Linked DNA regions of Astyanax mexicanus. The protein of the gene in region 2 purifies or fractionates together with the protein of the main gene of each other region. This does not show direct contact. Links are inferred from orthologs where the notes say so. Each region holds a gene or a part of one and is shown on either strand. Other genes may lie near its edges. The genes, in order: srrt, ddx39b, rbm15 and myosin-9.

Region 1 (7,625 bases), on a different chromosome or scaffold from region 2:
TGTTCGCAATGTGGTTAGCTTCTGCATTTTTACCCCCTATTTATTCTTAATATGGAAAAAAGAGACCACAATAACACTTAAATTTAAATTTTCAAAAATTCTGCAATGCCCAAATCACACAGATGGTCTCTCACAGGTAATATGAACAGGGATAACAGTATATCTGTAATTAGTGAAGGATACAGGTCTCCTCGTACACCTGGATGGTTGCCATGTCTCCCTCCAGACGGATGATCTCCCCCACCAGCTCACTGTGCCCCACCCTCACCAGCTCGTACATCGCAGCTCCCGCCATGCTGGAGGCCGTCACCACTGCGGCGTAAACACGTATCAGAACATATTCTTACCCAACACAGTGACTAGTGCTGGGAGGTATGATCAAAAAATTATATCACAGTAAAACACTCAATGTTTATGCATTTAAAAAAAGAGACATTTATCAAAAGCTCTACTGCACTCCAGCGGTCTAAAGCGCTGCCACTATGAGCGGGAGGTCGCAGGTTCGAACCCCCACTCATGCAGCTTTACCATCAAGCTGCCGGCGCTCAGAGGGAGCACAATTGGCCCAGTTTCTCTCTGGGTGGGTACAGTACAGTAGATGGCGCTCTCTCTTTCCCCTCATCACTCCTAGGGTGATGTGGATCAGCACAAGGCTGCGTCTGTGAGCTGATGTATCAGAACCGAGTCACTGCACCGCTTTCCTCCGAGCGTTAGCGCTGTGATGCTACTTGGAAATGCTACAGCATCAGCAGCAGCTCAAAAAGAGGCGGAGTCTGACTTCACATGTATCGGAGGAGGTGTGTGCTAGTCTTCTTAACCCTCCTGGTGTGTTGGAGCATCACTAGTGATAGGGGGAGGAGTCCTAATGAGTGGGTTGGGTAATTGGCCGTGTAAATGGGAAAAATGGGAAAAATTAGAAATAAATTTATACTGCACACAATTAATTAATACATTCAGTTCAATGTGCATTAAAATGATCCTTCCATCTACATTATTAATATTTAAACAGGCCTGTAGTTACTGCTCTTGAAGTTTATTTTCATCTCTTATCCAGAGTTTTAGGGAGTTTTATCTCTTGTACTAAATAAATGATTCTGTACCCAGATCCGATTCTGGGCTCATCTGGGGGACAAGAGGAAATTTCTCAGAGCTGTGGACTGATTGCGCAATTCTATTCCTCCTTTTTCTGAGTGAATAATTGCTGTTTGCTGTTGTTTTTCTATTTTTCTCAGATAAAAACACTCATGCAGTGAGGAACAGCAGCAGGAGCTCTTCAGATAAAGTGCTGTTCTCATTTCTCTCCAGGCTAGACAGAGCGAGACGAGTGTTTGACTCCACAGGGATGAGCTACCATCACTCCAGTGCGTTAGCTTGTTATGCTAACTGGCTAGCGTTAGCTAGTGAGCCGTGTCAGTGTGCTTCTTTGGTGGTTCTATTCTGCACAGCACTCTGCAGCACCTCTAGTGGTATGGCAGTATGTGAAAAAGCATACCGGTTTTAATTTCCCCTCCAGTATATCAAATAAAACGATATACCGCCCAGCACTAATTGTGACCACAATAGAACAGAACAGAGACTCACCGGGTCCGGAGACGCCGTGAACAAAGCCGAACTGTCCCTCCCGATCTTCATCCCGAATTTTGGGAAGCTTGGAGAAATCCATCCTGAGTGAGAGTGTGTCTGAGTGACGAAAAAAGAGAGAATATAGTTATAAAATAAATAAAATGTGCTTTAAATACCGTATTTTATCCAAGCAAAGTTCGTTTTTCCCGTCTAGCAGCTCCTGAGTGGCGTAACTGTCTAAGCGCAGACTCTGTTGTGTGCTGTGTTTCTTCCCAAACTGCAGCTCAACACGCTTGGAGGAGAACACTACACAACTGCTAACCCTGATACCTCAGCTAGCTTAGCAGACGACGATCATAGCATCACATGATTGGAGGGGTGAACAAATAATTTAAAGATAAAATTCATTAAAATAAATAAATAAATAAATAACGTATATTTGCTTGTATTTTATTATTAGAATAGTATATAGTAACATATCTACTTATAACACTGCTTTGTGATTATGTTTATTTTACACAAAAATACTAAATAAATAGCATTTTATACTACACTGCTGTATAAAATTATACAACGACGTATCTATTGTAAATTGATCTATACATCAGTACATATTATTTAGTAAATAGTAATTTTTTTAAATTCATTTTTCTATTTAGATTCTTATTATACTAGTTGATTATTATTCATTTGTCCTTTTTAGCATTTTTCTTTATTTTAAATTTGATAAATTCTTAACTTTTTATGTGTTATTTTTTATGGTTATTATTATTATTATTATTATTATTATTATTATTATTATTATTATTATTTTATTTTATTTATTGTTATATATGTCTTGAATTTGTTATAAACTGTAAATGCTAGGCTGCACTGTAAATAAGGGTCACCCTCAATGTTCTCCTGAGTTTAAATAAAGGTTGGTTTCTATAATTGAATTCAGCACAGTCTCTCTAAATACCTCACTTGGGCGTTAACTCTAATTATAGACTCTACTTATAGACTACTGTAACACACATAATATATCTTAAATTAATTGTAATATTCTTTTTTTATATTCTAATACTTTTCTGTAATCTATTAATTTTCTGTTTCTTTTAATATTCTATTAGAAATAATTTTAATGGTGCAGCAGCTTTTAGTGTATTTTTAGTTTATTTAGTATATTTATGTCCACTTAATTTACATAGTGTATTTCTGTATATTAAGAAAGAAATACATATATTTAAAATATAGAGATAGCTATTTTAATGTATATTGATTATAATTAGTTAAAGTATAAGTAGTACTTTTTTTTGCATTAGTAGCAGTATTTATAGCATTTTTTTAGCAATGTATACTAAGTGTATTTCTATATATTTAATATATTGCTGTATATTGAATGCATGTGTCTTTGTGGCTATGTGTTAGTAATATATATGTAGGTTTGTACATATTAGTTTATTGTTGTATTTTAAGCAGCAGTGTGTGTGTTTTAATGGATTTAGTACATTTAGAGCGGTATATTGTGTATATTTTGTATATTTCTGTGTATTTAAGATTTATTTTTAACATTTCTAATAAATGCACAGATGCATGACATCCTTAATTAAATGATACATGAACTATAAAGTAAAATAAAAGCCTAAAATCGAATTAAATCCTAAATTAAGCTGAAATAAGCTTGTTTTTCGAATTAGCCGTTCCACCTTAAATGTTGCTGCAGTTGCATTCTGGCGCCTCGGGCGCCAGAATGCAACTGCAGCAACATTTAAGGTGGAACGGCTAATTCGAAAAACAAGCGAGTAAATTAGAGCAGTTAAAAGCTAAAATCAATTAAAAACGAGCTTAAAACGAGAAATATCAACTAAAAAACACAATTACATGAATAAATCGATATAAAACAGTAAAATAAGGCTGAAATCGAGCTTGTCTTACCGTTTTACTATGAGAACAGAGCAGAAGCAGAGCTGAACAGTCACGACACTGATCAGCTGACTGGACCTGGATTAACCCCTTTAAACCCCTTTAACCCTTTACTGACCACATCCCTCCTATATATTACATTTATTATTACATATAACACACAAATCAGAGCATATTTATACAGATTCTCACTTATATTCTTATTAAATTAAGGGAATATTTATGATATATTTCCTTAAATTTTCTTACAGTGTAATTAATAGGCAGAATTGTTTTATTTGTATATTTATTTACAAGATATATGCTCATTATAAAACTTATATCAATCAGTATTACTATATGTTTTATTACTATGAATCTTACTATGCTTTCGTTCGAAAAATATTTAATTTTTGCAAAGGTCTTTTTTTTTAAATGTATTTATTTATTTAGCTATTGTTTTAATTATTTATTTACTTATTGATTTATTTATTTGTCTAGTCATTTCTTTATTAATGTATTATTTTTCTATCATCTACTCATTTCTATTTTTATTAATTTATTGATTTATTTATTTATTTGTCTATTCATTTCGTTCTTTCTTTCTTTCTTTATTTGTCTATTTCTTTCTTTTTCTTCTTTCAATTCATTTCTACCTTTATTTGTTTATTGATTTATGTATTTGCCTATTCATTTATTTCAATTTCTTTATTTTTCTACCTTCTATCCCTTTCTATCTTTTTTTTTACTTATTGATTTATTTTTTTATGTATTTATTTAATTGTCTATTTATAAGCAATGCATTAATTATCTGCGTTTGGATCTTTTATTTATTTTAGGCCAGTTTTTGGCTAAAAATATTGTTTTACTTAAGATACAGCTTTTACTTTTAATATGTGAAAGAGTGCATAATTTATACACTTTATTTATATTCAGCCTTTGGGATAAATATTTTATTTAGTTATTTACATGTTTTGGTTTTAGACATAAAAATCCTTTTTGTGCATCCCTATTATGAACGTACTTACCTATTTTGTAGATTGATTGATTGATTGATTGATTGATTATATATTACCTAAATTAAACTAAATTTACCATAATTTACTTTATAAGTATATACAGACTTTGATTCTGAAGTGTTGTGTTTGGGCTGCGCTTTGCTCTTCTGGCCGGAGGGGGCGCTGCTGCGTGATATCAGTGCAACATCCGGGAGCCTGCTTCGTCCGTTCTGCAGCGAGACCGCGGCGGGTGGCGGGATTTTACCGAGTAGTTACCGGTACCGCGGCTTTTCTTGCCTTTGTCTCTGTTTATTTACTGTTTTTATACCTTTTACACCCATATTCTAGTTTGTGTAAGGTTCTGTATGTGGAAAGCAGCGTAATAGAAACGTATTTTGGGCTAATCTGTTCCTTTACTTTTGTTCTGTAGTCTCGAGAGTGAAGCTAGCGAGCTAGCCAGCCTATAGCTGGGCCGTGCTCCAATAAGCGCACTCGCGCCCTTAACTGTACACTTATTTATTTATCTGTTTAGTGGGTGTTTGGGAGTAGTTTAGTCTGATTTAAAGTGTTTTGATTCTTTACTGACAGATTCATTGTTTAGTGTGTTTATGGAGAAAGCTTAAGTTTACTCCTATGGGAGAGAAAACACACTTAGGTAGGGTGCCTGAGTAGGGTGCGTAGTTAAGCGTACTTGTTTTTTGAGATATCTAGCTACATATTTAAGGAACAGTTACGTATGTAGCTCATTTGTCAGTAAAATTAGTTAAATAAGTGATATATTTAATAAATGGTACGTTCATATCTGTGTAATATCTCAAACAAACGTTCAAATATAGGTAAGCATGTTAGCTAGTCTACTGCTCGTATTGGAACACAGACAGGCTTGTATAATAAGCTAAGCTAACGTTACTTGCTCTAGCTAGGCTAGCTAGCTAAGATAACCATAGAGTGTATGTCGTTTTATCTGAATATTTGAGTTAAATACTTTTTTTGAAGCCTAAATTGCTTTAATATATAAAATTATTCTACACGTTTGGAGCAGAACTAGCGTTAGCTAGGTTAGCTTGCTAACTGGTAAGTTAGCTATGCTAGCTAGCAGTGCTAATCGCTTCAGATATCCTTTATTAAATCTTGTTTATTGTGTTAAGTTTTTATATACAGCTATTTAAACATGTAAATTGTACCATAGTGCACAATTGTGAAGTTTATCACCTTTAAAACAGGCTCATTGAATTTTCCTTTCCACCTTAAATCTGCAACAGTTTCATACTGCAACCAATGCCCCCGTTACAGTGCAAACAATGGGGAAATTTAAGGTGGAACGGAAAACTTTCTTATTTAGTGCCAAGGTGTGAAAACACAGCTTTTACAATATGTACCAATGGAGGGTTTAGCTTTAATATTGCAATATTTTGTTTCACGTTGTGCTGTGTGAATTGGAGTTATTTTTGTTTTCCTTTAAATATTAAATTGTTCTTCTAAACCTTTGGACCAGAGGTATTGTAGTTTACTGTCTAGCCAGTTCGCAATGCTATTTTCACTTACTTAAATGTTATATAGTTATTTAACTTAGTAAATTGTGCTATAGTTTGCCAATGTTAAGTTTATTACTGAATGTTCTGTTCCACCTTAAATTATGCTGTTGCGTGCACTGTAAACGTGACATTGGTTGCAGTACAGTGTAACTGTAGTAGATTTAAGGTGGAACAGTCAATTAAAAAAATACTTATTCAATGCTCAGTCTTGATAAATGTTTGTGTGTGTATATGCGTAATGTATGGGGTTTAGTCACATTATTAAAAGTGGATTTTTTTTTTCCAGCTTATAATACTAGACCCCCTTGAGGATCACTTTTAGAGATCTGTATTCCACATTCTGTATTGAAGTTGATGTTATTTCTTGTATATTTTCTTTATTAGTGAGATCTGAGACTGGTTGGTGATTGGGCGTGATGGCAGACAGTGATGATGAGTACGATCGCCGCCGCAGGGATAAATTCCGCAGGGAAAGGAGCGATTATGACCGTTCCAGAGAGAGGGAGGACCGGCGGAGAGACGACTGGAGTGACCGGTGAGCAGCTGGGAATTTAATATAACTTAGTACAAGAACTTAATAACCGTTTATAACAGGGGTTCCCCAACCCGAGTTCTTGTGTTTCTCACGTTTTAGTGTGTTCCTAACACATTACTGTTACTTGGAAACCTTCAAAGTATAAACATTCATGGTTTTAACACATTGGTGCTAAAAAGGAAAAAACTCTGGTCTCATATTTCACTGATAATTAGGGCTGTGTATTGGCAACAACCTGGTGATATGAGATTTTAGTTTTTCGCTTGTTTTAGGAAAACTGTCTAAAGCCCTGTCTGGACGGAATTAGTTTCTCAGGGGGACACCTGTGAAAAATATTTCACTGTTCTACTCAGTGATAAAACTCCTGCATCCGGACTGCAATTGTAAAAACAGGATGACCAGGGGGTTTTTAGGCTTTTTTCTCAGTCACATGACCTCACGTTCAGTAGCTCCTCCATTTCCACACACTGTTGTTTTTAATGTGGATCTCCTTGGAAACGCACGTCCAAAGTGTAATTACGGTGCGCAGCAGTGGACAAATATCTATTTTATTAAAGGTGAGACGAAACGAAGATGTGCGTCCAGAGGGGACTAAAATTACTGGAGGAGCACGAAAAAGAGTTCAGAGGACGTCTGTGAAAAACACGAACATGATCGTTCTGGACGGAAATAAAATTACCGAGGATAAAAAAAAAAACATAAAAGAGAAAATTACCCAGAACCTCCTGAGAAAATAATCCAGTCCAAATAGGCCTATAGTACAAAAAAACAAACCACGTTGATTTAATCTAAGAGAAAAAGTTTACTTTGAAAAGAATCAGAGCAGTGGTTTTTCAGTTAGCCTTTATGACATGTCCTGTAACATTCAGCACCATTTTAACAGAAAATAAGTTACGTATATCACGTATATTAAAAAGTGCTTGCAGGATTATTTATGTGTGTTTTGTGTGTTTGTGGTTTGCAGGCGCCCGTCGGCGAGAGAGTGGGACCGGGGCCGAGAGAGACGTAGCCGGGGGGAGTACCGGGATTACGAGAGGGGCAGGAGGGAGAGATTCTCCCCACCCAGACACGACATGAGCCCCCAGCAGAAACGCATGAGGAGAGACTGGT
Region 2 (7,663 bases):
TTTGCACAGCAGGTGGAATTCTACTCTTCTCACTTTGGCTAAAGATTTCCTTCATTCTGCTCACCTTCAGACGGATGCTCAAAGCCACAGTCCACTATGGCCCTCAGAAGCTCAGGCTTCAGAAGAAAGTCCCTGAACCCTGAGGAGTGGATGGACACATAAGAGCCTTTGACCCCCTCCTTTCTTATGGTCATGGCACCACTGTCACCGGCAAGCGTTCCATCCCCGACGCCACCTGCTGCATCTACTTCATCCTCCTCATAGTCTAACAGCTCGTTCTCCACGTCGTTCTCAGTCATTCTGAAAAAGGGGAAAACACTAATTAAACATTTAGCCTGTAGATCATTACCCTGAGAGCAAAGAACGGTATACGGATATATGAATAGAATACAAACATAATATACATATTTAATTTAAGTCAAGTTTAATACAAACAATAAATATAAAATCATAATTTTGAATCAATGTTTGAATCAAAGTTTACACATAAATAAATTCTGGCAATCAACATTGTTTCAACATATGTAAATGTTGATTCGGGAGCTGAGTGGTACAGCAAGCTAAGTGCTGCAACTATGATCAGGAGATTGCTGGTTTGAATCCAGGACATGCAGCTTGCCATCTGCTGCCAGAGCCCCGAGAGAGCACAACTGGCTTTGCACTCTCTAGGTGGGTAGATGGCGCTCTTTTCCCCTGATCACAGAGACTGACATGACTTTATTCCTTTCAGCAATATTTGCTGCACTCTAAAAAACTATAAACTATCTACCTCAGTAACTGCTGTGATTATATATGTTCTATATGTTACAGTATGTTACACATCTCTGCACCTTATCCTCACTAAACACTCTATTATACCGTATCGGTACTGCACTGTCCTGTCTTTAAATTGTCTCGTCTTTTGTATTTATTGTATTTATTATTATTTAGTGTTATAATTTTATCTGTCGTCACTCCTGCACTTTATGTTGTCTATTGCTTGTTGTTCTATGTTGCACCATGGTTCCGGAGGAACGTAATTTTATTAAACTGTGTACCTGTACTCAGATGTAATGACAATAAAAGCCTTGACTTGACTTGACTTGACTTGATCAGCACAAGGCACCTGTGAGCTGATGTATCAGAATCAAATTGCTGCGCTTATGCTCTGATAAAATACTGACTGATACTATATTAGGATACTGATATATAGCTGCTCAAAAAGGCACGAACAGTAAAACTGATGTAAGTAAACATCTGCACTGCAAAATCTAAACATGAAGGGAAGTCATACAATATTATATTGCCCAAGCAATAAGAAGATTTTGTAAAGAAACATTATTCTGTAAGTATCAACATAACTGTGTTCAAATTGTTAAATATAAATATTATTTTATGATACACAAAATGAGTATTTCTCGAATTGTATTATGATTAGGCATTTAAATGTGTTGATATTTACTTAATTAAAGGATCAATATTTGCAGATATCATATTCTTTATTACAGTTTAAGACAAGCCTAATATGCACATATTCCTTAAAAGCTATTTTGCCATCAATTTGTAGCTTTTACAGTAAAGTATTGACATTTTAGAGACTCTGTATTGTATGCTAAGATACTAAGGTTCTGTTTAACCTGTATTAACTATTTAGTAGGGATGCTAGGGGTGGGCAATATTATATCGTATACAATATATCGTGACACAGAAATATCGTGATATTAAAAAATCCATATCGTGATAATAGGGCTGTTCTGTCTTAAAAGTAGTCTATTATTTACTGTGAAGCTTTAGGTGTATTTATTGTATAATTGTTTTAGTTTGCAGTTTATATGCATGCACTAAATATTCTGCAATATTTTTGCTGCATTATATTATTTTATGCTATATTATTTATTTTGCCACATTATGATTATGCTGTTATACTCTTATACTATATTCCTGAAATTAATTAATTATTTTAGTTTTCCTACATCGCCAAGTATATAGTTACCGCAAAACTACCCTGAAATATCGTGATATTATTTTATAGACATATTGCCCACCCCTAAGTGATGCACAATGATATCGGCCAATACTATTATTTTTTTAGAATATTCAGCAATGATATGGAAATATGGCTATTATTTTAAACCAATACTTACTTACATATTTATTGTATTCCAGAATTTTTTATTATAAATGTGTATATCGGATATAGACATCGGCCCAGAATTTTCACATCGCTTCGTCCCTACTATTTAGAAAGATAAAAAAGAAGATCATATGATTAATTATCTGTAAATTAGATTTAGTAAATATTTGGTAAAATCTCAATTGCTAATGTCATCACTAGTCACAATCCCAAACCAAATAAAAAAAAATATAAAATTTTTACATAAAAATATAAAAAAACATCTGAAACTGAATATAAATTAGTTAATATTATTTTTTTATAGCTTCTCCAAGTGTCCTGTATGAGACTTTAAAGCCCTCAAATTTTCAGAATGTAATTAAGTTATTTTACTGCAGAAAAAAGGGTTTTGTATCACCTGCACCTGTAGCTCGTATACGGGAGAAGGCATTAGGCACATATGGCAACAACCAACGTGTTTTGCTATTTAAAAAAGCAGTAATAATATTGTACCATAGCAATTTTATATGAAAATATAATCAATACATATATAATCAATACTGCACAGCCTTGATGGGCAACATTAAATATAATACCCACAGCTGACGGATATGACCATATTAATTATAAAAATGATTGTAATGAATGGATGAAGTTTGCAGGTTTCAGTATATCAGCTGCACAGGGCTGCTGTGTATATATCTGCAGCAGCATGTGTTTACAGAGCAGCTCACACGCGCTGCTGCACTACAGACTGGTGCACAGAACAACACAGCCAGCGCTGCATGTGTTTAACCGCATTTTATCAGATATAAACCCTCATTTACCTGGATTAACTGTGAGACACTCCGCGGTGTGTTTTTATTTCACCTGCTCGCTGCTGCTGCTCCCCTGCACGTCATTTGCTCTGAGACGAAGGGCCTCCCTCCCACCAGCAGCTAGAGCTGTCCTCCGCTCCGCCTGAGCTCAGCTCCGCAGGCCGGCTTCTGCTCTCAGGGATCTGTCGCTCAACTCCTCCGCTTTCCAGCTCGGCTTTAGCGACACTACTGGATTTAAGAGCTTGTTTAGACGGTAAGTTAAGTGGGTGGAAACCGCAGAATGTCGGGTTTAGTTGTGTTGGTAAACACGTGTTTAGGTGTAGTTGATAGCTAAAGTTGGCTTCTTAAGCGAAATATTCGTTCCACCTTAAATCGTGCTGTATTTACACGGGCAGCCGTTGAGGCACGAGACTATAACTGCTGAGTCTTTTAAGGTGGAACTGAAGTTTTCGTCTTGTCGTGGTTAGCATGGGTGCTAACTTCTTTTCTTCTCAACTTGGATTAATTACTTTAGTTAGCATAAGTCACACATTTGGATCACTTGTGTGTTTTAAAATTGTTTTATTATCTACATTTTCATTCTTTTTTTCTTTTTCTTCTTTTCTTTTTACAATAAACCAATGATAATACAAGTTATTAAAATTTAACTGGAACTTTCCTTCCACGTAAAAAAAAATCCAGCTGTTGCATACAGTTGTCATATAGTTTGCTATATTAAAGGTTTCATGCCATCGTTTTTTCATTTATTTTATTTTATTTCTGGTTGTGGTCTTCAGTATGAATAAAAAAAATAAAAAAATCTGTTGTTTTAGTATTTAGCGGCTTTAGTCCGGTGGAGGAGTGGGAGGGAGAAACATGTGTTGTTACTCTAGTCTCAGAGTTTCTGTAAAACACAAAATCCACTGGAGATCCTATGTAAACTATAGTTACACAGAGGTGGGTAACGTTAGTCCAGTTCCAGAAAGTAAAAATCCATTTTTTAAATGTTTAACTAGTGTAAACAGAACTGTTTTTAAACATACACTGACCTATCTCAGTTGGACTTCGCTGGAGGTGTACCATAGACAGATTTTAACCATTTTTCCTTATGTCTGTATACTTCCGGAGTTTACTATAGCAAGTAATTGTAACGTTATAGTGTTTATGGTTCAAGAAAACATATAGTCACAATAATGCATGAATTAATATCCTGTTATGCCTCATCGCATATGCTCAAAGTAATTGTAAGTGGATAAAATGTATATACAGAATGTAGAAATGTATATAGTGTTATAGTCACAAATGTGTGTTTACAGCTAATTAGTTAAATATGGTTTTATGTAAAGTTACTTACTGGTACATAAGTTTGTGTGTATTTGTTTTAGTAATGCTGATGTGAACATATTAATAATTATCATGAAGTAGGATTGTCATGTATAACTTTACAAATTAGTATTTTAATTTAATGTTTGATGATGTGCATTTATTTCCACTCTTGATGTAGGACCATGTCTTGCTTCCAAGGAGATATAAACTTCTGTCCTGAATGTGGTAATATTCTACCAGTCCCTGGAATTCAGAATACCATTACATGTCCTCGGTGCTCATTCGACATTCCTGCCAGTGGTGAGATTTCATTTTGGCCTAAAGATATTTAGATATACTTAGTGGCCACTATTAGAAAAACCTTCATGTTGGGGGAAACCGGCCAGCATGGCCAGCTTAAATCAGCTTGTTGATCAGCATATAGTATGTTTTGTTTGATGTTTCAGCTGGTCAACAAACATGATCAACCTGGCCAACCTTACCAGTATGTTTTTGACTAGATAACTGGCTTGTCAACAATTTTGATCATCAAATATCAGCATAGATCATCTAAAGCCAGACACCAGTAAAAGCTGGTCTGCAACTGGATTTTTGATCAAGCTGATTTGACGTTCCACCTTGCTGGTGTACAATAAAAGACCATAGCCCATCTGTTGATGGACTGTTCTTGTTATTTTGTAGTGGCAGAGCTACTACCTAGCAGTGGCATTAATTTGAACATGTCATCACCATCCAGATCCAATTAACGTCTGCTCAGAGTTATGTGGTAGGTGTACCCTCATAGCGTGTTTGGAGAAAGAATGGACAAGGAAGGAGTTTGTAATTAAGTAGACAATCTGAGAAATATACAGGGGGATTTTTACCTACAGCCAGGACAATGTTTAAGTCAACTTTTTTTTCTCCTCAGGTTTTGCTGGGCAGGTTATCAAGTCATCTGTAGTATTTAATCCGTTGGTGCAGAGTTCTACTACTGTGGAGAGTGAGGAGGATTCTGAACTAAAAGGCCCTGTGGTAAGTTGCCTAAATTTAACACTAAAAAATTTTGTTAAATAATCTTTGCCCTGCAACAGTTGTTTAAAGAGTGAACAGTGGACAAAAAACATTAGGGAATGTGAGCATTTATAATTGTTATCTTCTTCTATGCAAATTCTTCACCAGGTGGACAGAAGGTGTTCACGCTGCAATAAAGAAGGAATGGTATACCACACAAGGCAAATGAGATCAGCAGATGAAGGCCAAACGGTGTTTTTCACGTGTATTCACTGCAGGTAATGTCAGAGTGACTCCATTAATAACTCATACTGCTAAATGCATTGATTTCTCTGAGGTGCAGGGGTGCTCTGAACAGAGTAAGGTTTATATTGATTCTTTTTCCACAAATCAAGGCAGAGTGAAAATGAGAGAGGCAAGAACATCTGTGTTTAAGTTTCAATTTGTCATTCCACTTACATGAACAAGACAACATACAGTTTTTCTGCCACAATCTATAAGAAATCACAGAAATCTACAGAAGCTAATTTCTTTTTTATTTCAATGTTTACATTACAGGCACCAAGAGAAGGAAGATTCATGAGATGTTTGGTGTTGTCCGACTTGTATTTGATCATTGATCAACAACGTGAATCCAATATTGTGTCTGCACAAGATGTAATGGAAAAAGACGCCACAAGGACTTGGACATTTTTGCTGTACATTCAAAATGTTTTGTATCAAAAAGAAATGAATAAAAAATGTAATATAAAAAATGTGAGAAGCACAAGCATATGTCTTTCTTTTTACCTTGTTATTTCTGTCTATATCTGCAGTAGACATTTGTAGTAATAGCAGTCTTGTGTTCAGTGTTTTGATTTTAAGTTAGAATAAGTATGAGGGCAAGTTAAATATCAAAGAAAGCAGCAGAATCCTTAATTAACTACACTTTAAGGTTGCTGTGATGGGGATAATCAAGATGTTTTTTGGCAAATGTGAGATGGGCTGTTGTGTTCTTTTTGTTTTTAGTATATTTCGAAAGTATTGTGTTTTTCTTTTCATTTATAGTTATTGTATTTTCTGGCTACATCAGCTAAGCCTTACCTTTTCAAATTCATACAGTTTTTTTCATTCATACACATTCATAGAGTGTTTCATACATGACTCCTTTTTAAACGAGTTCAGTAAAGGGCAGTCAACTGGAACCTAACTTGCTTACACATACCAGTCCCAAAACGCATAGTAAAAACGTATATACATAAAAATGCAGCTCTGGAAACAAATAATAGACCACTTAGGCGGTCTGAACTGATTGAATTTTGGTTATCCAAAAGCTGTGTGTAAGACTGGTAGTAGAGAACATGCCAAGATGCATGAAAACTGTGATTAAAAAACAAGGTTAATCCACCAAATATTGATTTCTGAACTCTTAAAACCTTATGAATATGAACTTGTTTTCTATGCATTATTGAGGTCTGAAAGCTCTTTTCTGTTATTTCAGCCATTTTTCATTTTCTGCAAATAAATGCTTTAATAATTGTCATATTTTATTTTGGAATTTGGAAGGAATGTTGTCTGTAGAATAAAACAACAGTGTTCATTTTACTCAAACATATACCTATAAATAGAAAAAACTGATTCAGAAACTGAAGTCACCTCTTATCGTTTTTTCTAGAGCCGAATGTATATAGTTATGAATTTAGAAAGAAAGAACAAATGTTCATAAAAAGAAGCGTAGAACTGTTGGCTTTAGGGAAACATAAAGTGCAAAATAAATGTAATACTTATATGTAGGATTTTAAAATTTTTAAATCGTTATTTGGAAATAATAACATTTATAGAAATTAAGATAATGCTCTTTTGGTCATGGCCGGTTCAGCTGTGAATCAGCCAATCAGAAGAGTCCGGTTCGTGTGCGTCACGTGATCACGCCAACATGGCTTTCTGTACAGCAGCAGCACAATAGCAGCATGCTAATGTTCAGCTCTGGACTGTTTACTCTGTCTTTTAACGTCTTTCTATAAGGTGAGACCCACTAAAACATGAATTAAATAAGATTTAAGGCTCTTGCACGCGCCCGGAGTGCGAATTAAAGCACCTAGTGAATCAGTAATATTGTCAGTGATATTATTGTCTGCTGGAGTTCAGGAGTCTCTCCTGTTAGATAACTGGTTAGCAAACATTTTTGAGTTATAATCGCTATAGTTCGTTTAAGGCTGTAAGTTCAGAAGTTTTAATTCAGCCAGTTGATTGTTTTTTATTAGAACAGTCTGGTTCTCCTTATCATTACAACGCTGTGATTTTAATGCAGGGATGAAAGTAACCTAAAGTAACTCTGCAGGGAAGTAACTTATCTAACGCTGCTGTTAATTCCAGCTCTGTGTTTTATGTACATCCTTTGCAGTGGATCCCTCTGTCTCTAAAGATGAAGCTCAGAGTACAGCTACAGTGCAAAAACCTTCATGAGTACCTGAGAGAA
Region 3 (7,866 bases), on a different chromosome or scaffold from region 2:
GTGATTAATGTCTGACCATATTGTGACCATATTTTTTCTGCAGAGCTGTTCGAGTGTTTGAGCAGTGTCTGAAGGGGAAGTGTCACACTGTAAGACTGTTGTTGTAAATCAAAAGGACTGCAGAAAGGAACCCGTACAACCAAAAATGTAATTAAATTAAAGCAAAGCAACATGGGTCCTCACCAGCACTGAAGAAGTGAAGAAGCTGTAATGCAGCATTTAAAATACAGATCAGTTTCTGAATCAGTTTCAGAGTCTGAATCAGTGTTGTTTTATTTTATAAACTACAGACTTCCAAATTCCAAATAAAAATATTGTCATTTAGAGCATTTATTTGCAGAAAATGAGAAACAACTGAAATAACAAAAATGATGCAGAGCTTTCAGACCTCAAATAATGCAAAGAAAACAAGTTCATATTTATATATAAGTTTTAAGAGTTCAGAAATCAATATTTGGTGGAATAACCCTGGTTTTTAATCACAGTTTCCATCTTGGCATGTTCTCCTCCACCAGTCTTACACACTGCTTTTGGATAACTTTATGCCTTTACACTCCTGCTGCAAGGATTCAAGCAGTTCAGTTGGGTTTGATGGCTTGTGATCATCCATCTTCCTCCTGATTATATTACAGAGGTTTTTAATTTGGTAAAATCAAAGAAACCCATAATTTTTTGGTGGTCTCTTATTTTTTTCAAGAGCTGTATATCTGCATCATTGATTAACATTGTACTATTAGGTACTACATCATATATAATCCACAGGTAGAGCATTTAGGAGCATTTAACCAAACATTTTATTGTGTTTTCTCATCTGTAGAAAAAAACTGTAGAACACAGCATCCCATCACATTTTCTCTGATGGAAAGAAAACCATTTGGGACACTATCTAGTAAGTGTGCCATAGAGTGCACTAGAAGAGCAGGAGGGCACCCATAGATATGCATTCATTAAACACAAACACTCACTTCCTCTGGTTTTAAATTACATTCTCTAAGAATCTGTCAGAAAGGAAGTGGTTCAACTCTAATACAAGAGGTTTAGTTTATCTGAAGTAAACCACTGCGGAAAAACAAATCAAGCCGTCTGGAGGCCTGGACCACTTGCTTTCAGTCCTGTTTCTGGGAGACCAGACTTTTAGAAAAAATGACAGTAAACTCAACTGTACCTTTAGAGGTCCACCACTTGGCATGGGGTGGTACCATCAACTTAACTTAAATCAACTAAACCCAACTATAACCTAACCAATCCCAGCTAAACCCATAAACTAAAACCTTTAAACTACTTTCTGTTGGCTTAGGAAACATTCTTATAGAAAATTTTACTTAAGGTGCAGATAAAAACAACTTTTTTCCAGTCCCAAAAGAACCAAAAGAAATGACCCAGCTATCAAACATACTCCTTTTATTTAAGCTAAACTGCTGATAAGGCACAGTTTAAAATTTGATATATTAGCCAGATAATGCTAATTACCACAGCTAGGAACAAATGCTGTCTCTGCTGCTGCTCCGTGCTGTTTACACGCACTGTGTGTGCTGTGTTCACTGCTCGCAGCTGCACAACTCTGTTTACTGTACATCTGCACTGCATATCAAAAACGCTGTGTTTGAAAGCACTGCGCCAAATCTTCAGCATCCTGTGTTAAAGCAGCTTCACACTGCACAGATATCTGCACTGAAACACAGAATCTTCTCGATATATTTTGTTTTTATTTCTCCCACACCAGACAGCTCTGACCAATCAGAGGACACAATGTGCCCACGTGGTTTATTGGTGCGTATTTTGGTGAGTTTAGGTTTATGCCTGTGTGAAACCAAACCCAACAGAGGGAGAAAACGCTCCAAGTAAATGAACTCATCAAATGATCCGGATCATAGAAACCAAATACACACGTAGATTTTAGTTAAGTTAAAAATCTTCTTTATTAAGATATTGTGATTGAATTTGTCCTCTACACAAAAGTCCAACTAAATGGTAAAGGGTTCAGTATAGTATAAAAATATCTAAAAATAATAAAATACGATACAATACAATAAGAATAAAAAATGTTAATCAGTGAATTAAATACATTATGCATGATACTGTCATGCCCAAAGAGGAGTAGTATTGTAGATTTTATAAAACCTTGTGTCGGGCATTAAATCCAAAAATACTGTATTAGGATTCATAAATTATATAAAATAATGTTTTGAATTGGTTTTGGTTTATAAATGAATAAAATATCATTGCTATGTACAATGAACTTTTTAAGGGGAGCTAAAAATGCTCTTAAACCTGACATCTAGCTAGCTACCAGTAGACATGGCAAAAGTAATGGCACCCAATACTACAGGTGGTTCCTGACACATGATACAGTCATGGGCGTGGTAGTGGGGGGAAAAGTGGACCTGACTACCCAGGGCCCGAGTAGGGAGAGGGGCCCATGAAAATCCTGATTTTTTTTCGCTCACTTTCCTTTGTTTACTGGCATGGATAGGGGCCCATTAACATAGAGGGTGTACAGGGCCCAGAATTTGCTGCTACGCCCCTGGATACAGTATGTGACATGTTAATGCATTGTAGTGTATTGTATGTGTGGAAATAAACACATTAGAATCAGGGTGGTTCAGTGCATTGTTTTTATTCATTATATAAAACAAACATTCCAGCAGCATCCAGACCAGCTAAATACAGCTACAGGGGTGGTAGAACATCCACAGCAGATGTGACAAGGCCTGAAGCGTGCTGGTGCTGTGTGAGACAGCTCCATCTGCATCTAATGACCGCATGCCAGTTCTGTCAGACACTTTTTTTAGGACAAGCTGCCTAATTTAGATAACATCTGAGATGTAGCTCTTTAGCTCTTTTCCAGGCTGAGAAACAGAGCTAAACAGCTGCAGTTACAACCTGTTCAAAGCCACTGTCATCTTACCCCACTCTCCAAACGCACAGCGGTGGAGGATTGTTTTAGGGCGAGTATTTGTTACCACGTCTTTCCACCGAATCTTCAGCATGACAGCAGAGCAGAACCACATTAAGTGCCAGTCTAGCACACCATGTCGTGTTTTTAAGAGAGCTGACATGTGTTTCCAATAGAGCCGAGAGAGAGCGAGGCTGTCAGAAACACTCTCCACACCCACAGCTTTGAATTCCAGCCCGGCCCGTCGAGACAGCACGGCCTGATACAGCCACAAAGGCAAACTGATTAGGGCCCAGATTACGTGAATGAGATAAGCAGATAAAGGAAAAGAAAATAATAAGAATCACTGATCAGAAAAGCAGTGCAGTGGAGTCAAGTTTACTGAATGTTTCTGGAAGTTTTTAGAGCATTTTATTTAACGATTTTAAACATTCTGGTAACATTGCTAGAACATCATTGTGTGTTTTCTCCCATTTTTCTCCCAATTTAACTAAACCAATGATCCCACCCATTCAGCTGCTGCTATATCCCCCATCACAGGTGATGCCACACAACATAAAATCAAAAACCTGCAGCAAAGCTTACAAGAAATGTGTTTACATTTTACATATTGCTCATTTAATAAATACCTATACCTAATAAATAATTCTGGGTTCAATCAAATTAGGTCATTTTACAGTTCAGTTGCAAGGAAATAATAAAGTAATATTGACTCAATTTACATCTTTATCATATAAAATGTCATCTCACATATCCAAGTATATTTTGATTAAATTCTCTAGCATTTTGTGAGATATATAAACTATAAAAAATAGCCACATAGTGGTTCATTTTCTTCTTTTTTTTGCCTAATTATTTGTAGCCAACACAGAATACATTTTATTATTATTAAAGTATTATTATTATTAATATTTATTTAAAATTTATTTAAAAACGTATTTACTGGTCTAGAGCTGTATACAGAATACAGGCGGCGACATCTACTGAACATAAAATGAACTGCTATTAAATGCTGCATTGCCTCTAGCAGAGGTCAAATATTTTAAATAAACCAAAATAAACCGTTTTTACACATCTTGCTGCACAATTTAAGCCTTCGTATCATTATATATAAACTTTATTATAGATCAAATGCGTGAAAATTCCTTTTAAACGTTAAAAAAAGGCTGAAAGTTGAATTATTTAAACGTCCTTTCTGAGGGCTCATTTCCGCATGCCACGAGGGCTAGGCGAGAGCTGGGCCAAAGAAACTATAGAGAGGAGATCAGTCATTTTAGCACGTCTTCTGGCTTTGTTCAACCAGCAGAGGGCGCTTCTGAGTGAGCTCAAAATGAATGGGTTCTTATGGAGCAATGGATCAAAATAGGATATTATAAATGTCTGATCATTTTTTAATGGGAAACAAATTCTCATTTCCTCTAAACAAAACTATATAAAATGTTTTAACAGCGCAGAAACAGTGTAAACTGCAGTTATACAGCTTTTAAACGTGTTCTCTGACTGTATCTCCAACATCAGCTCAGTGATCTCACAAACAATAGCAGCAATGCTAGCGTTTTTACTGAGTGAAACATGCTTGCTGTGGACAAATCGAAACATAAATATATGTTTGTTTTACGTTTTTAGCGAAATACGTGAATATATTTTCTGAAATTAAATTAAAATGTTGAAGAAGTAGTTGGACAATGTTTTAATTTGTGTTTTTAGCCGTTTAGCCCCACTCAGTCCCATTCATTTAAGACTCCCTCGCGGGCTCCCTCTATCGGTTGCTCTAGAGTAACGCTACTGACACATCCGTCAGAGATTTGAAGTGGGCAGGCACGCTATAATCCAGTTTTAGCTGGGCGTTGTTCTGAGTTTGTGATTGACGTGAGTTTCAGCCAATAGAAACAAGCGCTCGCAGACATTCCAACCAATCATATTGCTCGGGCGAGGTACGCCCGCCCGACTCGCCTGAGTTAGCGTTAGCTAGGTTTGCTAGTGTGTGTTGAAGCTGTGGAGACAAGATGGCGAATGCAGTTGTTTTGCTGCGGGAATGATTCAGGGCGGATTTTCGTAGTTTTTTCGTTTAAATCTGCGTAACTAGGGTGTAGTTTATACAAGTTGTGAGTGTTTATTAGGCCAGGCGCAGGTTTAAAGTGCTCGACATGAAAGGGAAAGAGCGTTCCCCCGTGAAAAAGCGATCGAGGGCGCTGGATGATCTGCGAGACCGCGGAGGGAGCCACCCGAGCAGTAAGAAAATGGGGGTGATTTCCATGTCCGGAGGGAGCAACAACGGCAACAGTTCCTCCAAAAGCGAGGGAGGTTCAGCGAGAAGGAGCCTTCTAGGCGATAAAAGAGACAGTAGGGACTTTGACGGACATGTTTCCAGCCGCGCCGGGAACAGCTACACCAGCCCCAACTCGAAGAACCACAACTCGGGCCTGTCGCTGGAGGCAGTCGCCGCCGCCGCTGCTAGGGGCAACTCGCGGGCCGAGCCGCGGACTCCGCTCCCCGCCAACGACAGTGAGTACAAAACGCTGAAAATCAGCGAGCTAGGCTCACAATTAAGCGACGAGGAGATCGAGGACGGGCTTTTCCACGAATTCAAGAAATTCGGCGACGTAAGCGTGAAGATTAGCCGCGTAAACGACGAGAGAATCGCGTTTGTGAACTTTAGGAGGCCTGACGACGCCCGGGCCGCCAAGCACGCCCGCGGCCGCCTAGTGCTGTACGACCGCCCTCTGAAAATCGAGGCCGTGTACATGAACCGGAGGAGAAGCCGCAGCCCGGTGGACAAGGACCATTTCCCAGCAGTGGCTGGCCACAGACATTTACACACCCAGAGGCCTCTCTCCCCTACTGGGCTCGGCTACAGAGACTACAGGTTACAGCAGCTCGCTCTGGGCCGCCTTCCTCCACCCCCTCCCCCTCCTCTACCCAGAGAGCTGGAGAGAGAGAGGGAGTTTGCCTTCTATGAAGCAAGAGCCGCCAGGCCTGCCTACATCGCTGAGAGGGCTGCTGCTGCTGCCGCTGCCTTCAGAGAAGAGGACTTCATCTCTCCAGAGGACGACCAAAGAGCCAACAGAACTTTATTCCTGGGTAACTTGGACATTACAGTCACAGAAAGCGATTTGAGGAGGGCGTTTGATCGTTTTGGGACCATTACAGAGGTGGACATCAAGAGACCTACGCGTGGCCAGAACAGCACATATGGCTTTCTCAAGTTTGAGAATTTGGACATGGCCCACAGAGCTAAGATCAGCATGTCTGGAAAGGTGGTGGGCAGAAACGCCATAAAAATCGGCTATGGCAAGGCCACGCCAACCACACGCCTTTGGGTGGGTGGCCTAGGGCTTTGGGTTCCTCTAGCTGCTTTAGCGAGGGAGTTTGATCGCTTTGGCACCATTAGGACTATAGACTACAGAAAAGGTGACACGTGGGCGTACATCCAGTATGAAAGCTTGGATGCAGCTCAGGCAGCCTGCACTCACATGCGTGGATTTCCTCTGGGAGGTCCAGACAGAAGGCTGAGGGTGGACTTTGCAGACACTGAGCACAGATACCAGCAGCAGTTCTTGCAGCCGCTTCCTCTGCCACACTATGACCTCGTGGCGGAGTCTTTCGTCCACCGTGCCACTCCTGAAGCAATCAGGGTCAGAGAAAGGACTCCACCACCACTGCACTTTAGAGAACGGGAGCTGTATGCTGGGGCTGAGTGGCCAGCCCCTGCTATTCGTGAAAGAGTAAGGACTCCTGCTTTCGAACCTCTAGAGCACTTGGAGAGAGAACGCCGTCCAAGAGAGCCCTGGTCCCTGGAGCGTGAGCTGCCTGGCAGGGATGCTGCTCGCAAACGGCGCCTACTAGAGGATGGGCGCCACCTGGAATGCTCACCTGACAGCAGCAGCGAGTGGGCGGCACGACGCAGGAGACCACCTTCTCTGGAGGGCAGCCCTGGAGGCAGCAGCCGTGATGGGCGTTTAAGTGACTCAGAGCGTCCGCTTCGAGCAGAGCGGCCGTCCCCAGCCAGAGAACGCCGCAGCAGCCTGGACAGAGGACCTGCAGAAAAGCGCCTCAAGAGCAGCAGCAGCCTGTCAGAGTCCGGCATCGGAACAAGCCCATCTGAGAGAAAGCGCAAAGCAGGAGAAGCAAGCAAAGGCCCCTCTAAAAGAGACAGAGCTGAGGGCAGCTCCAAAGGCAGCCAGTCATCTAAGCAAGATTCAGGAGGAAAGCTGAGCATGGCCTGGAACGGCATGCTCCTCCTGAAAAACAGCAACTTTCCAGCCAGCATGCACATCCTGGATGGTGACCTCAGCGTGGCCAGCAGTCTCCTCGTCGACGGCAGCACCGGAGGCAAGGTCACCCAGCTCCGCATCACCCAGCGCCTTCGCCTCGACCAGCCCAAGATGGATGAGGTGTCTCGCCGCATCAAAGTCGCAGGCCCGGGCGGGTATGCGGTTCTCCTGGCAGTTCCTGGCAGCTCCGAGGACACGACGTCGTCATCCTCCTCCTCAGCAGATCCAGCAGCATCGACGCAGCGTCCCCTGCGAAACCTGGTCTCCTACCTGAAGCAAAAGCAGGCAGCCGGGGTCATCAGCCTACCTGTCGGGGGCAGTCGCGATAAGGACAACACGGGGGTACTGCATGCCTTTCCGCCCTGTGATTTCTCTCAGCAGTTCTTAGATTCCTCTGCGAAAGCTCTTGCCAAAACAGAAGAGGACTACCTGGTCATGATTATCGTCCGCGGAGCATCTTAACAATCAGAACACACCAAAAAAATGCATTGTAAAAAAAAAAAAAGAAAAAAAAAATGTGTCTCAATTGTGCATGCTCTGTTAAGCCTGGTGCAGCAAATTCTAGTTTAAATGGGTTAAAGTGGGTTTGTGTCATCTGTTCTGCCAAATGCAATGCATGGGGATAAAACATGCCACACTCAGATAGCTGAATTGGTTTCCTTATCGCAATATTTGCTTATCATTACAAGTTATGAG
Region 4 (7,595 bases), about 19 Mb from region 2:
TTTACTCCATCTGACAGTTTAGAGTATGTGGATGTCTTAGCACTTTTGCTAAAAGAGCTGTCGCTCTGTGTGACTGACTGGAGATGTGGAAGTTGTGTCTGCGTGACCGGCAGGGTCACAACTCTTCATCCGAAGCTCAAGGATGTTTGTGAAAGTCTGGCGTCAACATAGCCCCCCCCTTTACCCGAGAGAGAAAGAGAGAGGGAGAGATAGAGAGAGTAACAGAGACACTCTTACATATATAAAAAGGAATGTTTAAATAAACAACTCAAAATATGACTGAAAAAAAATACTTAAAAATCTGGCAATAACAAACAGTGATAAAATATAAACATTGACATTGAAAAAAACGTCCCAGCTTTTCATTAAAACAATTTCTGGTAGAAAATGTTACTTTTTTTCTATTTCTGGTTGAAAGTGAAAGGTGAAAAGATGTAAAATGAGGTCTATATGAGACCAACACAAGATAGCACATAATTAGAATAGAGTAGAGTAGAGTAGAACAAAAATGATATATGGTTTTCAAAGATTTTAATAAAAATAATACAAATCTGTAAAAAAGTGTGATGTGCAAAAGTATTTAGCCTTCTTTACTCTAAATCCCCTAAATAAAATCCAGTGCAATCAACTGCCTTAAGAAATCACATAATTAGTTAACAGAGTCCAGCTGTGTGTAATTTAGTCTCAGTATAAATGTTCTCTTCTGTGGTTTGTTGGAGAACACTAGTGAACAAACAGCATCATGAAGACCAAATAACTCACCAGACAGGTCAGAGATAAATTTGTGGAGAAGTTGTCTCAAGCTTAGAGCATCCCAAAAAGCACTGTACAATCCATCATCCAGAAAAAAAGTATTATATACCTGCAAACCTACCAAGACATGACAGTCCATCTAAACTGACAGATCGAGCAAGGAGAGCACTGGTCAGAGAAGCAGCCAAGAGGCCCAAGGTCACTCTGAAAGAGCTGCAGAAATCCACAGCTCAGGTGGGAGAATCTGTATACAGGACAACTATAAGTTGTGCACTCCACAAACCTGCCGTTTATGGATAAGTGTCACAAACAAAACCAATGTTGAAAGAAAGACGTGATAAGAAGTGTCGCTTGCAGTTTGCCACAAGCCATGGAAGATACACAGCAAACATGTGGAAGAAGACGCTGTGGTCAGATGAGACCAGTGCTGGTAACTTTTTGGCCTAAATGCAAAGGGCTTTGTGTGGTAAAAAAGTAACACAGCTCATCACCCTGAACACACCATCCCCACTGTGAAGCATGGTGGTGGCAGCATCATGCTGTGTGGATGTTTTTTTCAGCAGGGACAGGGAAGTTGGTCAAAATTAATGGGAAGATGGATGGAGCCAAATACAGGACAATCCTGGAAGAAAACCTGTTGGAGGCTGCAAAAAACTTGAGACTGGGAAGGAGATTCAGCTTCCAGCAAGACAATGAGCCTAAACATACAGCCAGAGCTACAGTGGAATGATTAAAATCAAAGAATATTCATGTGTTAGAAAGGCCCAGTCAAAGTTCTGACCAAAATCCCATCCAGCATCTGTCGCAAGACATGAAAATTGCTGTTCACAGATGCTCTCCATCCAACCTGGCTGAGCTTTAGCTTTTTTGCAAAGAAAAATTGGCAAACATCTCAGTATCTACATGTACAAAGTTCATTGAGACATACCCAAAAATACCTACAGCTGAAATTGCAGTGAAATGTGGCTCTACTAAGTGTTGGTATACTGAAAGGGTTAATAGGCTGATTACTTTTGCACATCTCTGTTTCAGATTTTATTTGATAAAAAAATCGGAAATCATTATAATTTTAGTTCTTTTTATTATATCACTTAAAATATCAATAAATTACATTTAAGTTTGTGGTTTGTGGCAAAATGTGAAAAACATTTAAGTAACATGAAAATTTGTAGTATTTACTAAAAGCTCTGACATTCTAGCATTTTTGTTTTATTTTAGTGCTATATAAAAGGTTTTTCACAAGTTCTTTAGCAAAGTCAACATCTCAATGAATCATTTACACATCTGACCTATAGTTAAACTGCTATTCAAATTCAGAAGTACTTAAACTTTCTTGTAGATATTTTTTTAAATACTTTTTTAACACAAACTGATTACTGTGTTGTTTTTAATATGTAGTTTTTAGGACATCCTGGGTTCAGATGTTTCTTTAAAGTAAAGTAAACCAACCCTTTAACCCATTAAGCTACGATGGTTCTCAATGAAACCCTTGTCTTTAATAAGAACCTTCAAAAATCCCATAATCACACAGTAAGCGTGTCTACCTGTAATTAATTCTATATACCGTTAAAATGAACACAACTAAACCCTAACAAAGTCAGTAGTCAGAAAATGCTTTTAAGCTACTTTTAAAATCTGTTACAGACTATAGTAAAGCAGTGAAGCAGGCTGGGAGCAGAACCAACACAATACAAGGAAATTAAAGACAGGACATTATGTAATTAATGCATTAATACGAAGGAGTAAAGTGGAATAAACATGGATTACTCATAGGCTCATGCTGTAAAGCTCAGAAAATGCTCAGAAAAGTGCAAATGTGTGTAATTGTGTTTAATTATAGTTTGAGTTAAGTGAATAGAACTAGTTAGGTTTATTGCAGGTCTCATCCTCTCAGCCTTTAATTCAATCCCAACAACAGCTCATTTTAGACTCAAGGAGATAGAAAGAGAAAGAGGAGCAGAATAGAAGGAATAAGATGAGGAGATTAAAGGCTAGAAAAATGATGTAAATTCAGTCCAGGAGATCCAGAGTCTGGGCAGGCAGCAGAACTAGATTCCAGTTCCTCACCCAGAGATTAATGCCTGTTTTGTATTTCATTTTTAGATGAATATGAGCTCAGGTATGTGGAATATTCCATTCATCATCACACAGGGACTTCACAATACTGCAGGAGGAACAAAAAACACAGACTGCAGGAACACAACAACCTAATTAAATCTGGACACTGTGCCCCACCAACCAACAGAGCAAATACAAAATGTGCTCAAGTACACAACAAGTTTCAAAACATCCCTATTGTTTTATTTGATCATCTTAACAATGTCTTTATTACTGCATGTTACCTGCCACCTCTAATTCTTCTCTCCACTGCTAAAACTGAGACTTTTTAGATTTACAGTGTTAATCTGAGCTAAAGATGTTGCCATGTGGGTCAGCCTGTAGCAGTTTTCTCCAGTTTCCAAGAGTCTTTTGAAGATGTCGGAAATCACTCTCTGGCTTTATCTAAAGAATAAAATTATAGTTACAAAATTTCCACAGTCTTATTATCATCATCAACTAATTATCATCAGTTAGATTAAATCTGATTTGCCAGCAAACCAATTGTGGTATACTCCAAAATCTTTAGCTAACTGTTTATTTAAACTATTTGTATGTTTAAGTGAAACATTTTTATCTCCATAATCTAACTTCTGAGGTAAACAAAATGCTACATAAGTATAGAAAATTAATGACACAAAATGAATGTCAAAAAAATGTGCACAAAATTCTGAACTCAACAAATGCTTATATATAAAATAGTGTTGTCAGTGTTAACCTGGTAACACACACACACACACACACACACACACACACACACACACACACACACACACACACACACACACACACACACACACACACACACAATTAATCTAGAAAGCGCTTTAATTTTATTTTACCAAATATCTGCAGTAACTTTTTCCAGAGCCTGGTGATGCATTAGCCATTTTTAGCAATATTTAGTGATGTAAAGATACATTTAAACAAACATATTTGAATACAAATAAAACCATTTAGATGACCTTGACATTGATTCTTTTTAATTACATTTAAATATCTATTACTAAAAGTTTAAGTGTTACAAAAATATTTTTTTTATCGTTTGACAAACCGATGTTTTTTTCCAGGATTCTACACAAAACTTCACTTTTAAAAGTAAGTGTTTAAATGTTTTAAATGGTAAAGATGAATGAGTGTGATAAACCTGTCTACAATAGTGGGGGCCTGAACTGAGGCCTATTCATAATCTAGCGCACAAAAAAGGGAGAGAAACAGGGAAAGGGGGGGGGGGGTGGACTGCATTGGTAATTCCTGGCATTCCTCCGTGTTTTGTGGGAGTGTGTGTGCGGAGCTGCAGACAGTGACACACCGGGGTCGAGGGGCTGCTGGTGGGTCCGTCCCGCGCAGCCCGGCTACTTATATGGTCATAAAAGTCCTCGGCTGCTCAGACCGTCCCGTTAAACTCTAAACTCCGGGAGAGGCAGGCCCCGCCCCCACTCCTCCGCCCCGCCCCCTTCCCGCTCTCTCATACTTTAGCTCCGGTTCGTTTTCGCACTTTTGGGCTTCTGATTGGCCGAAGCCGCCTGAACGCTACGCGCTGACTGGCAGAGAAGTGAGGAAGTGGGCGTGGCGTACAAACCGCGCCGGCCCCGCCCTCTCTGGACCGCACCCCGAGCCAGTAGGCGAAACAGTGCAAGTGGAAGAGAGGGAGGGAGAAGAGAGAGCAGAAAAAAATAGTAAAAGAGTGAGAGAGAGAGAGAGAGAGAGAGAGAGAGAGAGAGAGAGAGAGAGAGAGAGAGAGAGAGAGAGAGAGCAAAAGAGACGAAAGAGGAGAGAGCGCGCTAGCCTGAAGAGAGGTTGCAGCGGACAGGCGGTTTTTGCAAAGCTGCTACGACCAGGATAAGCACCGGTTCTTGTTAAGTCAACCTTAAAGCAGCTGGAATAAGCAGGTAAGTTGTTTTTATAGTTTTTACAAGGCGTATTTTCCACCCATCTGCTCTAAAGAGCAAAGTGCACTGAAGCAGGAAGGACGAGCCAGGCTCAAAGTTGGCTTTCAAGTCTAACTCTGCGGTCCACCTTAAATGGGACAGACGTTCCATTGCTCCGGCCACTGAGGCGCCAGAACGTAACTGTAAAGTGCCATGGAACTGCTTCACTATTTAAGGTGGAATGGGAAAAGTGAACGAGATGCTAACTTCAGCTTCAACGTTGAAGGGCGAGGGGAGTAAAGCTTGGCCGGGAGGGACTCTAAACGAGATCGCAACACAGTTTCATCTCCACGCGCACTTTCTTTTACGAGTTTAAGCAGTTCTAAACTTCGCTGCTGCTGCAGGTAGACTTGTTCGAGGGGAAAAAACAAAGCGGTGAAGTTACAGGAAGCGACGACCTGCTCGCATGAATGAGTTGCATAAAAATGGAGGGAGAGAGGGGAGAGGGAGGGAGGGAGCAGCCGGAGCCCGTTACCGGGCCGGGACTCCCCCCGCCAGATCCGGGAGCGCGTTAGCGGGGCGGGGTGGGTTTTACTCTGGGTGTAAATCACCGGCGCGGCTCCACGCGAGACACTCGCTCTCGGATGGTTCATCGTGTTACACGCGGTGACGTCATCGCCCGATTCCGGTGTTCTGTGGAGTTGTGCTACCCTGTCAAACCGTGCTACCCTAGTGTTTAATGTTTAACTGTAAAAATAAAAAATATTAGAACATGCTGCATGCAGTAGAAGTGTCGGTATAATCATATCTGAATAGCCTAGATCGCTGTATCAGGATAAAGTTAAAGCAACATAGGTTAAACAGGTTAAAACAAGGCAACATGACTGAAAACATTTTTATTTATTTTTATTATTATATTTGTTAGTTTTTTTACACGGTTGTAACATTCAGGCAAACGATGACTGTGAGTCCAGATTGTACAATGCACCTGGGGGGAAAAAACTGAAAACTAAATTACCAGGAACTAGAGGTGGGTAACACAGGTCCAGCAAGTAGAAATCTAACTCAGGGTTTTGTACCAGCTGCCTGGAATTTTACTTTCTGGACCTGGGCTACCCACCTCTAGGAAAGAACACATGAAAACAGTAAAGATGAGATTTTTGCGCATGCGCAGAGCCGCTAAGTATCACATATCGACGGGTAGCACAACTCGATAGAACACCTGGCTCCCTGTGTCAGTGACGTAGCGCAGCTAACCCGCGGATCGATACTCCCGATCAGTTTTTGTAGCTTATACATCAGAGAGAATGCATCATTCAATATAAGAAAGAACGAGTAACACTTTTAGCTATATGTACACATATTAACCTTGTCTGTAAGTCTCTCTCCTTTGTTCCATTGCAACATTACTAAACCCCTCAGTTTGAATACCTCTGGATTAACTTTTAATAGGTGCTTTAACCAGTTTGGGGAAAGTTTAGCTGAACTTTCTGGAATGAGTGTGTGTAATAAGTGTTTTAGAAAAGCCATTCAAAAATAAATGTGCACACAAACACACTTATGTGTGGGTTTTGTTATGTAAGCAAAAATGAGAGTTTTACAGGCTAAGAAAAGTATGGTAAATTCTGACATTCAACTCTCTATTCATGTCAAATGCAGAATGTCAACTAAATACTGGTTTAGATGTAAAATTATTATCACAATAAAGACATTTCACCATACGCAGAATATTTCCATCCATATTTTACAGCAAGATTTCAAAACCTGTTCCATATTTGGAACATTGAAAACTGGTTGCCTTTCCATCTAACAGAACTGGGAATTATTTGCATTCCATTTAATCTCGAATTTCCAATAGAATCCAATATGGCAACCTCACACATCAGCAGTTGTAAAGCAATATTATTATAGAGTTTATCACTTCTATCTATAAGTGTTTCATTAAATCCATCCAACACACAGTTCTGTACTACTTCTATCTGCACATGATTACATGCTGTTTGGATGTGCAAAATAATTCCTTCATTATCAGTTGGTTTCACAAACAATTCTAACAAGGGATAAGGCTATCCAGGACAAGGGATAATCCAGGACATAAAAAGTGGGAAAAGTATTGGTTAGATTTACCATAAAACACCGTAAAAACACTTGTGATTTATATTTTGACCTGGAATAGTGTATGACATAATACCTAGCTGCACCATCCAACATGTAAGCTAAATGGAATGCAGCATAATTACTTAATTGTGCTCTTTGAAGAATGAAATGTGCAGGTTTCACCCAGTGAAACCAATCAGATCTGTAAATTAATGATCATGGAAGATCAGAGATTGCTAGGTAGTTAGGTTATATGGTAGCTACTTTTTCAACAAAAAACATATTTGACACAAAACAGTCACAATTTGAAACATAATTTTCAGATTTGCTTAAAAATGTAAATTTGGTTAAATATGAATACAGAAAGATTCCATTTAGGTAGATCAGTTAATATTGTAAATATTAACACATACAGTGTAGATCGCACTCGCTATAATATAATGTTGGCTCAGGTAATATAGGCAACACACAGAGTGTGTTCTTTTTCTCATTCTGCTCAAATTTCGTGGTAAAATAGTTAAAGATTAAATATTGTCACTATTAAACTGATAATTTGCCTCAGTCAGTTGTATATATGTATTTTTTAAGAGCATGTATTAAGCTGACTTTGGGACTCAAAACAATAGCGATACTAAATCATTATTATTTAAACTTCTTTTAGCTAACTATTTTGTAGATGCTTTATTATTATGCATATTCATATAAAATTATCTATATTCACTGGATAATAAATGTAACCTTGTTTAAGATCGTATGATAGTAGTAGAACAGTGCTGG

What was found.
Region 1: the proteins of ddx39b (region 2) and srrt purify together in Homo sapiens (affinity purification with mass spectrometry; 3 studies listed by BioGRID and IntAct, with this or other methods). This does not show direct contact. The link is inferred for Astyanax mexicanus from reciprocal best matches to the Homo sapiens genes DDX39B and SRRT.
Region 3: the proteins of ddx39b (region 2) and rbm15 purify together in Homo sapiens (affinity purification with mass spectrometry; 3 studies listed by BioGRID and IntAct, with this or other methods). This does not show direct contact. The link is inferred for Astyanax mexicanus from reciprocal best matches to the Homo sapiens genes DDX39B and RBM15.
Region 4: the proteins of ddx39b (region 2) and myosin-9 purify together in Homo sapiens (affinity purification with mass spectrometry, with the first as the bait; 4 studies listed by BioGRID). This does not show direct contact. The link is inferred for Astyanax mexicanus from reciprocal best matches to the Homo sapiens genes DDX39B and MYH9.

The regions. Positions count from the first base shown.
Region 1 is NC_064408.1:1,332,128-1,339,752, reverse strand, and holds the start of srrt (serrate RNA effector molecule homolog), read left to right. Parts: upstream 1-4,616; 5' UTR 4,617-4,723; intron 4,724-6,364; 5' UTR 6,365-6,396; coding exon 6,397-6,515; intron 6,516-7,479; coding exon 7,480-7,623; intron 7,624-7,625. UniProt on the Homo sapiens protein: Acts as a mediator between the cap-binding complex (CBC) and the primary microRNAs (miRNAs) processing machinery during cell proliferation.
Region 2 is NC_064410.1:37,555,414-37,563,076, reverse strand, and holds the start of ddx39b (DEAD (Asp-Glu-Ala-Asp) box polypeptide 39B), read right to left. Parts: upstream 3,010-7,663; 5' UTR 2,920-3,009; intron 301-2,919; 5' UTR 300-300; coding exon 65-299; intron 1-64. Other genes in the region: polr1h (DNA-directed RNA polymerase I subunit RPA12), read left to right, coding at 4,398-4,515, 5,123-5,226, 5,374-5,483, 5,764-5,788; gtf2h4 (general transcription factor IIH subunit 4), read left to right, coding at 7,610-7,663. UniProt on the Homo sapiens protein: Involved in nuclear export of spliced and unspliced mRNA. Component of the TREX complex which is thought to couple mRNA transcription, processing and nuclear export, and specifically associates with spliced mRNA and not with unspliced pre-mRNA.
Region 3 is NC_064419.1:41,296,612-41,304,477, reverse strand, and holds the start of rbm15 (RNA-binding protein 15), read left to right. Parts: upstream 1-4,861; 5' UTR 4,862-5,043; coding exon 5,044-7,632; 3' UTR 7,633-7,866. UniProt on the Homo sapiens protein: RNA-binding protein that acts as a key regulator of N6-methyladenosine (m6A) methylation of RNAs, thereby regulating different processes, such as hematopoietic cell homeostasis, alternative splicing of mRNAs and X chromosome inactivation mediated by Xist RNA.
Region 4 is NC_064410.1:18,744,887-18,752,481, forward strand, and holds the start of myosin-9, read left to right. Parts: upstream 1-4,585; 5' UTR 4,586-4,742; intron 4,743-7,595. UniProt on the Homo sapiens protein: Cellular myosin that appears to play a role in cytokinesis, cell shape, and specialized functions such as secretion and capping. Required for cortical actin clearance prior to oocyte exocytosis. Promotes cell motility in conjunction with S100A4.